Callithrix jacchus: one gene and its partner. The protein of the gene in region 2 interacts with the protein of the main gene of each other region in a pairwise test. Links are inferred from orthologs where the notes say so. Each region holds a gene or a part of one and is shown on either strand. Other genes may lie near its edges.

Region 1 (4,549 bases), about 90 Mb from region 2:
AATGAAGAGTGTATTGTTTATCAGTCACAGAAATCTGCGTCTATCCCCATGGTTTGACTCTTAATACTCTAATGTCACAAACAACTGGGTTTGAAGGTCTTTTCTGGTAGGTCCTATATCTAACTGTTCAATCCACTGACAAAAAAGGAACTCTTCCCCACTCTGACATGGTTTTCCTAAATGTAAGAGGCGCTGATATTAGCTGTCTCACATTAACTTTCAAAAGACCATCAGATGAAAACGTTTCATTAAAAGGCACCTACTTAAGTACGAACAATGCCCAAAGAATGACAAATCAAAATTCTGGGCACTATACTAAGAGAAAATTCTTCCAAAACAGATACTTAAGAATTTTTCTCTCTGAATTTGGCCAAGTTTGGTGGTTTCATTCACAACATTTAAGGAAAAAAGTGATGGTTTATGGATAGCAGGTAATAAAACAACCCTTTACATCACTTACTAAATAGAAACGGTTTAGGCTCACAGACATGTTAAAGCTTCCTCTTTCCCTGCAATGGTAGTCAAGCCGCATAAACGAATCAACGTTTCCTCAGTTCAAACCCGAACTGGTTACAGGCAAGCAAGGGCTCCTGAGAATTTGCTTGCTGTGCTACAAATTTTTATTTACTAACGGTTTAGGTCAAGAATTTTTTTTTGAAGATCAAATGTCTTGCTATGCCTTTGTGTTCTTTTCCCATCTGTTATGTTTGTTGCCCTGTTGGTCTCCTGACACTTCCATTTTCTGTTCTCTCCAAATGGCTGTAACCTGGGGTATAACTAATCACATCGCTTGTGATTCTTTTCTTATTCTAGGACTTTCCAGATCTGGACTCGGAAGACGACGCCCAGGTGCAAGCCCAAAGGTTACCTATTTAGATTTTCCAAGCACAGTGTGTGGAAAATCATTCCTCGCCCTTCATTTTGTGTCTGCTTAACGGCGCTGTCGTGCCCAAACGTAGATACTGGCCAAGAGCTAGATTTCCAAAATGGCTTTGCTCCTTTCGAGCCGACATCGGTCTTTAACATGCAATTTATTTCCACTGCAGCTAATCATTCTCTCTACTCCAAATACTACCCGATACACAGAAAGCTGAACCTAACCCAGTGTAAACACGGACTCTCATCTGCTAAATTCAGCAAGGCCGTCAGAGCCTTTGCACCGATGTAAAAAAAAAAAAAAAAGAAAAAAAAGCGTTAAAACAAAAAACCAAAAAACAAAAAACGCCAAAACACCTCACACGAAACCAACTAGAGGGGCGGGCGTCGCCCGGATCGCGCCCTCCCGCCACGGCCACGCCTCCCCGCCGCGGCCACGCCCCTCGCCTCTCTCCGCGACGCCGGCGGCGGCCTCCGCGCGGGCCTCCCAGCCCTTATTCCACTCACTTTGTTCTCCGCCTTTGTCCTAATCCACACCAGCAGGTGGAGCCGCAGTTAAAGTTTCCGAGTCCATTCCGGGAGCGGGAGCCCATCTTGCTGGCTGCCGAGGCACTCGCTGGAGGAGGAGGGTCAGAGCTCGGGTGCAGCCAATCGAGGGCAACGCTGCTACTTATCAGAGCAGAATGGGCTGTAGTTTAGTGAAATAGGAAAGCTGCAAAACACTGTGGAGTGTTCCCGTGTAAATAAAAAGAGGGAAAAAAAAGTTTCTCAAGTCGCCGCTGCACGACGTCGGGCCGGCGCTGGGGCGGGGGTCTGCGCTCTCCCGGGCGGCCGCGCGCTGGACTTTATTGTGCCGCAACCAGCCCCAGTTCCCATTGTTTGTGTTTTTTTCAAAATATGGCAAAGGTTCAGGTGAACAATGTAGTGGTGCTGGATAATCCTTCTCCTTTCTACAACCCGTTCCAGTTCGAGATCACCTTCGAGTGCATCGAGGACCTGTCTGAAGGTGAGTGCGGCGCCCGCGCACCCGGGCTGTCAGTTGCGGGCTGCAGACGTTGAAAGTTTCCCGGGCCCGGCCTCGCGCTGGGCGGCCGTGCTCGGCGCCGGGCGGCCGCGGGCTCCTCTGCGGAGGGAAACTTGAAGTTGATGGACGACGGCAGCCGAGGCGCGCGCGGCGTTCCGCCGCAGCCCAGGCGTCTGCCGGGCTCAACTTGCGAGGAACTTGTTTGAGCCGAGGAGCGGAGGTAGCCATGTTGTCAGCTTTGTCTGCGAGCGGGCAGCTCGGAGACCGGCACTCGCGCCCGCGGCGCCGCCGGGGGTCGCGCGGGGCTGGCTCCACGACCAGCCTCCACGACCCTCCGGGCTTGGGCACGGAGGCTGGGAAGGGAGAGGCTGTGCGTGTAGTAGCGCCGGCGAGTTCGGAGCGGAGCCATCTTACCCCGAGTCGAGAATTGGGCCAGCGACCCCGGCGCACGGCGCCTTCTCTTGCCCCGCCGCCCGCCTGCCCTCCAGCCCCTGGCGAAAGGCAGGTAGTCAACTCTCTAGAGCTCACAGTGGAGTCGCCTCACTCTCCGGGCTGGCCATGCCCGGCCGCTTCAGAGAGGAGAGCGAGGCTGTCCTCGCGCTGATTTCTGGCTCCCTCGACCAACCAGCAGGGGAGGCGGGCACAGGCTCGGCCCCTCCGCGCCGCGGGCTGGGCGCCGGCGTTCCCCGGGGGCCGCGGGTCCTGTTCGGCCGGTCCTCCTCGGCCGGCGCCCGGGATGCGCCGGGATGCTGGCGCGCAGGCTCCCCAACCAACGTGGACTCCTTTCCCCTAATGACGAAAAGCTAATCTCAGGAAGAGAAATAAGAGCTGAGCTAGGAAGTTACATTTAACCTAAGAGCAGAAATTGGATACTTAAATAATTTCAGGACTTAATCTTTGCCTTCTAAATAGTCTTTAAGACTTTCTTCAAGGACGTGTTGAAATCTAAAATAACTCCACATCCAGATACACAACACACCCTGAACATGAAACACAAACGTAGGCTAGAAAATTAAGGTAAAATACTTAGTCCAAGAATTCTTTATATTTTTTTCTACATGTTTCAAGGTCTTAAAAATACGTATTTTAAAATATGTGTAGTAATATTTAGAAAGCTAAAACGACAATTATCCTTGCTTTTATTTTACTAAAGTAATTCAGTGCTTAATTTGCCAGTTTTGAAGGGGAAAAAGTTTAACTTCATCGATGAGGGACATCTTTGAATTAGAAGTATATTTTTAAAATGCATTGAAGATTTGGCTAATCATAGCATGTAAAACTATTTTCATTTTAAAAACTAGTTTTTAATCTCTAAAATGTATATATCTTATGTGAGTTGTTAACTTTATAAAAACAATATATGTTCATTGTAATAAACTTATAGAAAGTTGTACAGGCATATATAAAGTTAACAGTTCTCTGTGTTAAATACCTTCCCCTATCTCACTCCTTTAGGTAATCACAATTATTACTTTAACATGTGTGCCTCTGTTTTTTAAGACCTATGCAGAGCATAAATACACATATAGGGCAAATTTTAAAAGATAATTCATTTATTAAAATAATTTCAAATAGGCCATTGATAACATTAAGGGGTATTTTTCGTATTACTCTGAAGTCATCTGATTATTCTCTTACGATACTACTATTAATATAAGCATTGCAGCTACCAGCACCATTTTTCACACCCAACAGTCAGTAAATTTTTCTTTTTTATTGCCAATTGCATATAAAAACAGACAAAAGAAAAATCATTGGTCAGTCCATTCCAAATTATACCACAGTGTTCTTCAAATATACCACCAGAAGTTCTTCAAATTACAGGTATTTCTCAAGTGATGCCTTCCATTTTAGGAGTCAGCTCTGAACAAAGAAGATAGATGACTCAGGATGTCGTTATAGATGAAACCAGCCATTCATAGAAGCCAAAACATGTTCCATTTTTAAGTGGGATCCATTCAGAACCCAGCTGAATCACATCAGGGTTTTACAGTACTGGTGTCAAGAATATGCTTATTTCCAATGGTATATTTCACTTCCAAGGCACCATTACTGAGTATTTAGTATTTTAAAAAATATTTTAAGCTGAGTCATGCCAAAGCTGCAAAGGAATCTTTCAAAAAGGGGCCATGACTGTGTACTCCACCTAGAGGCTATGTGGATTTAGGAAATGAGTTTACTTAGCAAAGGTTTCTTATAGGTTCCATACTTTTATATTATAGTTTTTTTAAAAAAAAATTCTTAAACTATAGAAAAAATTTTTCTTTTAAATGAGACAGGGTCTCACTGTGTCACTCAGGCTGGGTGGAGTGCAGTGGTGCAAACACAGCTCCCTACAATCTCAATCAGTCCTCCCACCTCAGCCTCCTGAGTAGCTGAGAAGACGGTCAATGTACCACCATATCAGGCTAATTTTTTAGTTTTTTGTAGAAATGGAGTCTTGCCATGTTACCCAAGCTTGTCTCGAACCTCTGGACTCAAGCAGTCCTCCCACCCCTGCCTCCCAAAGTTTTGTGATTATAATCACTGCATCCAGCCCAAATTATAGAATATTTTGAAAAGAATTTTCTTTATGAGTTACTTTGTCTCAAGTCTCAAAGCGGAGTTTGGCCACCATTTTTCATACTTTTGTTAATAGCCCCCAAACAT
Region 2 (4,393 bases):
ATATCCAGAAGCAGGAGTTCTGAGTAGTTCTATTTTTAATTGTTTTAGAGGAACATCTTCATATTGTTTTCTATAGTAGGTTTACCATTTTATAATCTCAGCAGCAGTACACAGAGTTCTAATTTCTTTCTTTCTTTTTTTTTTTTTTTGAGACAGCGTTTCACTCTTGTTGCCCGGGCTGGAGTGCAATGGCATGATCTCCACCTCCTGCAACCTCTACCTCCTGGGTTCAAGTGATTCTCCTACCTCAGCCCCACAAGTAGCTGGGATTACAGGGATAAATAAAAATATAAAATAAATAAAACAACAACAACAACAACAAAAAAAAACCTTTGTCTCCTGGGTTCAAGGCTAATTTTTGTATTTCCAGCAGAGACAGGGTTTCACTGTGTTAGCCAGGCTGGTCTCAAACTCCTGACCTCAGGTGATCCACCTTTCTTAGCCTCCCAAAGTGTTGGGATTACAGGTGTGAGCCACCACACCTGGCCAAGAGTTCTAATTTCAAAGTGGTATATTTTTGTCTTGCATTTATTAATGATGTTGATGCTTATTCATTTAGATCATTAGTTTATATCTGCATTTTAATAAGGTAACTGTTCTGGTCTTTTGTCAGTTTTTCAAATAGCTTGTCTGGAAAGGTTATTTATGTATTATAGATACAGGCTCTTTATTGGTTATATATATATATATGTATTTTTTTTTTTAAAAAGACGGGGTTTCACCATGTTGGTCAGGCTGGTCTTGAACTCCCGACCATCTTGGCCTCCAAAGTGCTTGGATTACAGGTGTGAGCCACCACGCCCCGCCTATTGGTTATATTTGTTGCCATTATCTTCTACTGTATGGTTTCCTGTTAATTTCTTGATGGTGTCATTTAGCAAGTTTATATTTTCTAACAGTTCAATTTACCAATCTTTCCTTTATGGTTAGTATGTATATGGGCATTTCTGGTCTGTTTAAGAACTCTTAGAGCATGAAAATACATTTACTTTCTTTTTTTTTTTTTAAAAGGTGGGGTTTCACCACGTTGGCCAGGCTGGTCTTGAACTCCTGACCTCAGGTGATCCACCACCTCGGCCTCCCAAAGTGCTAGGATTACAGGCATGAGCTATTGCACCCAGCCCATTTATTGTCTAGAATAATTATTCTCTTACCTTTTATTTATTAATTTTTTTAGAGATGGAGTTTTGCTCTTGTTGCCCAGGCTGGAGTGCAAGTGGTGCAATCTTGGCTCACTGCAACCTCTGCCTCCCGGGTTCAAGTGATTCTCCTGCCTCAGCCTCCTGAGTAGCTGGGAATATGTGCCACCATGCCCTGCTAATTTTGTATTTTTAGTAGAGACAGGGTTTCTCCATGTTGGTCGGGCTGGTCTCAAACTCCCAACCTCAGGTGATCTGCCCGCCTCGGCCCGCCAAAGTGCTGGGAATACAGGTGTGAGCCACCGCACCTGGCCTCTCTTACCTTTTATACTTAAATCTACAGTCCATTTGAAATAGATCTTTATATATGATTATGAGTGCAAGGTGAAATTCCATTTTTTTACATGAATATCCAAGTGATCCAGTATCATTTATTGAAAAGACCAACTTTTCAGTTCCATCTTCATCATAAAGGAAGTGTCCACACATGTATGGGTCTGTTATTGGAGTCTTCAGGACCTAAGTCCTGTTGACTTATGTCTATAATTGTGTCCAAACTGCATCGTTGTAACTATTATAGCTTTATAGTCTTTTTCTCTTGTTTTTAGAGACAGGGTCTCACTATGTAGCCCAGGCTGGCCTCAAACGATCCTCCCACTTCAGTCTCCTGAGTAGCTAGGACTATAGGCATGTGACACCATGCCCAGCTTACAAATCTTGATATTCATAGCAAGCCTTCCCACTTCAAGATCATCTTGACAGTCTCTCACCTTGATATTTTGCATTTCCCTATAAAAATGTGTATTTCTACAAAAACACTGTAGATATTCTGGCTTGGAATGCATGAAATCTATACATCAGTTTGGGAAGAAGTGACATTTTAACAACATCGAGTTTTTCAATCAGCAAATATACAACTTTTCTCCATTCATTTAGGTATGGAATCCCTGATCTTTTGATTTTTAAGTCCTTTCTGGGTTTTATCCCCTCCCTTGCTCTCTTCTCCACGACCTAATACAAGGATCAGGGCCCCTTCCTCCTCACCTGACTTAGGGTCACCAGGTTTTCCATTGGCCATGGGGGGAGGGCCCAGAAGGCTGGGTGGTCCTAAGAGCAGACATGAAAATACGGTCATCAGAATGGATTAAGGGACTGATGATTCTGTTCTTAGGTGTTTTTCTTCTATTACTCATTTCTTAATTCAACCAGTAAAGTCAGGTATATTTTCAGCAGTCTTAGGAGTTCTCACCCCATCTACCTGCGCTTTTTTCTGCAAAGCTGTTTCGGGTTTGCAAAGAGTAGATATTCAATCAAAGGGGATAATGCAGGAAAAGACAAAACTTTTTCTTTTCCTCACCGTACCGTCGCTATCCAAAACAATCCAAGTGTCTCCAGACATAAACCAATCCCTCAACTGCTGGCCAGTCAATTCTCTTCTCCTTCCCCTTGGCCAGAGGACTAGTTCAGAGAAAGCTGCACCTGCACCTCTTCAGTCAGTCTGGATACAAACTGTCATCCCAGTCATCACAATCTGCAACATCTCTACTGTCCCTTTCCCCTATTGTTCTGCGACTGCGCAAAAGAGCTCTTTATTCTCGCCACCCCCGCCTTCTCCAGAAAGGTTTGGGGCCAGTTTGAGGTTGATGGTTCCAGTAAGAGAACTCCTCGTTCAAGGCTCCATTTGGGACAGCCCCTTCCATTCCTCCCCAGCGCGTGCGCCCTTCCTCCTTCCGTTACAGCCCCCTCCTTTGCACCTTACCAGCCCCTAGCCCCTCGCCCGGACGGGCTGACAGGCATGTGCACGTCCCTCCCCGACCCCTCACCGATGGGACTCCCATCCTCCTCATCTCCAGTATCTTCCCGCTCGGGCAGTGGGGGCTGCTGCTGTGATGGTGGCTGGTGCTGATTCTGCTTCTTTCGTTTCGGCATCGTGGCTGCCGCAATGGCTGCAGCGGGATTTGGAGGGCAGTGAGGAAGGGGCACACGGGGATTCTGTTTCCGCTTCCGGCGGGGCGGTGGGCAGCGAGGATGAGGCTCCCGCCATTCCATTTCCGGAACGTTGCGGGGAACATCTGCAGCGGCCGCATTCTGGAGTAAACTGCCTCTGTCCGTCTCTGCTAGGCATGGTGGCAACCTCACACCTTCCCTTTGCTGCGTTTCTATAACTGCTTTGAAAAAAATTCCTCTCTTCTTCCCTCGTTGGAAACCACCACAACCAGCTCCTCGGAGTGTGCCACAGAGTCAAGAGGCTCTCTGGCCAGAAGGCCTGAGAAGAGGACTGTCGCACCGTAAGATCGCCACATCCGGTCCCCGGTTACTATGGTAACAGCTGCAGGCACAACTTCGTGCCCTCTGACCTCCCTCCAAAGTCCTTGTGCCGTTTGGGTTTCCCTTCTCGTCCCCTTTTGCACTCATCTGTAAACCTGCTACTTATCATCGTTCTCACAAGGAATTTGGGTCCCAGCAGGTCGGCACCCAGGACTCTTCAGACCGCCGCCCTCCCCTAAAGACCTCTGATCGTGCCCCCGGTGTAGCTCAGCAACCTGGCTTCTTACCCGGGACGCACAGTCTCGGTTTTCCAGTAAGGTCTAGCCCGAGGGTTGGTTTTGTAGTCTCAGCGAGTCCACGCCTCCTCTCCCCTAGGTAGTAGGCCCCGCCCTCCACTCCACCGCCCCCTCCAGGTGAGTGGTAGCTTCTCCCGGGAGCGCAAAGTAGTGATGACACGCATCCCCCCTTCTCCGAACGCAAGTTGGTAGCGTCCGTGACGGAGTTAGCCCGGTCCTCCCACGCGCGCCTCCTTCGCCGCCGCCGGGGCGCCCTCTCGGTGCCACTGGCTCTCACGTGCCAGTAGCCCACCCCGCATCATCCTCTCGCCTAGCTCCTGGAGGGAAGTGACTGTATATCTCCCTCGGTCGTCTTCCATCGCGGCCGCCGCGGCAATTCGGTCGGGCCCGCCCGCTGACGTCACCTGCTAGCCCCGCCTCCTCTAGGGTCCCGGGCCCCTGCGGCGGGGGCTGCCCCGGGGGCAGTTAGTTGAGGCGGCGGGAGCTCGGTGGAGGGCGGGCCAGGTGACTGGTCCGGGCCATGCCGAGGAAGAAGCCCTTCAGCGTGAAGCAGAAGAAGAAGCAGTTGCAGGACAAGCGGGAGCGGAAGAGAGGTCAGTGCGGGAGCGGGAGGAGGGGGCGGGGCTCAGGCTCCCGCACATCTGGAAGGAGGGGTGTGCTAGCTGCACTTCTCGGGGGCGTGGGAGGGGA

What was found.
Region 1: the proteins of PRR3 (region 2) and ASF1A interact in binary tests that used the Homo sapiens proteins (3 or more experiments, as listed by UniProt). The two-hybrid records come from large-scale screens. The link is inferred for Callithrix jacchus from reciprocal best matches to the Homo sapiens genes PRR3 and ASF1A.

What each region holds. Positions count from the first base shown.
Region 1 is NC_133505.1:125,224,815-125,229,363, forward strand, and holds the start of ASF1A (histone chaperone ASF1A), read left to right. Parts: upstream 1-1,525; 5' UTR 1,526-1,773; coding exon 1,774-1,882; intron 1,883-3,435; exon of another isoform or gene 3,436-3,731; coding exon of another isoform or gene 3,732-3,763; intron 3,764-4,549. UniProt on the Homo sapiens protein: Histone chaperone that facilitates histone deposition and histone exchange and removal during nucleosome assembly and disassembly.
Region 2 is NC_133505.1:35,351,358-35,355,750, reverse strand, and holds the start of PRR3 (proline-rich protein 3), read right to left. Parts: upstream 3,110-4,393; 5' UTR 3,069-3,109; coding exon 2,963-3,068; intron 2,247-2,962; coding exon 2,184-2,246; intron 1-2,183. Other genes in the region: GNL1 (guanine nucleotide-binding protein-like 1), read left to right, coding at 4,224-4,296.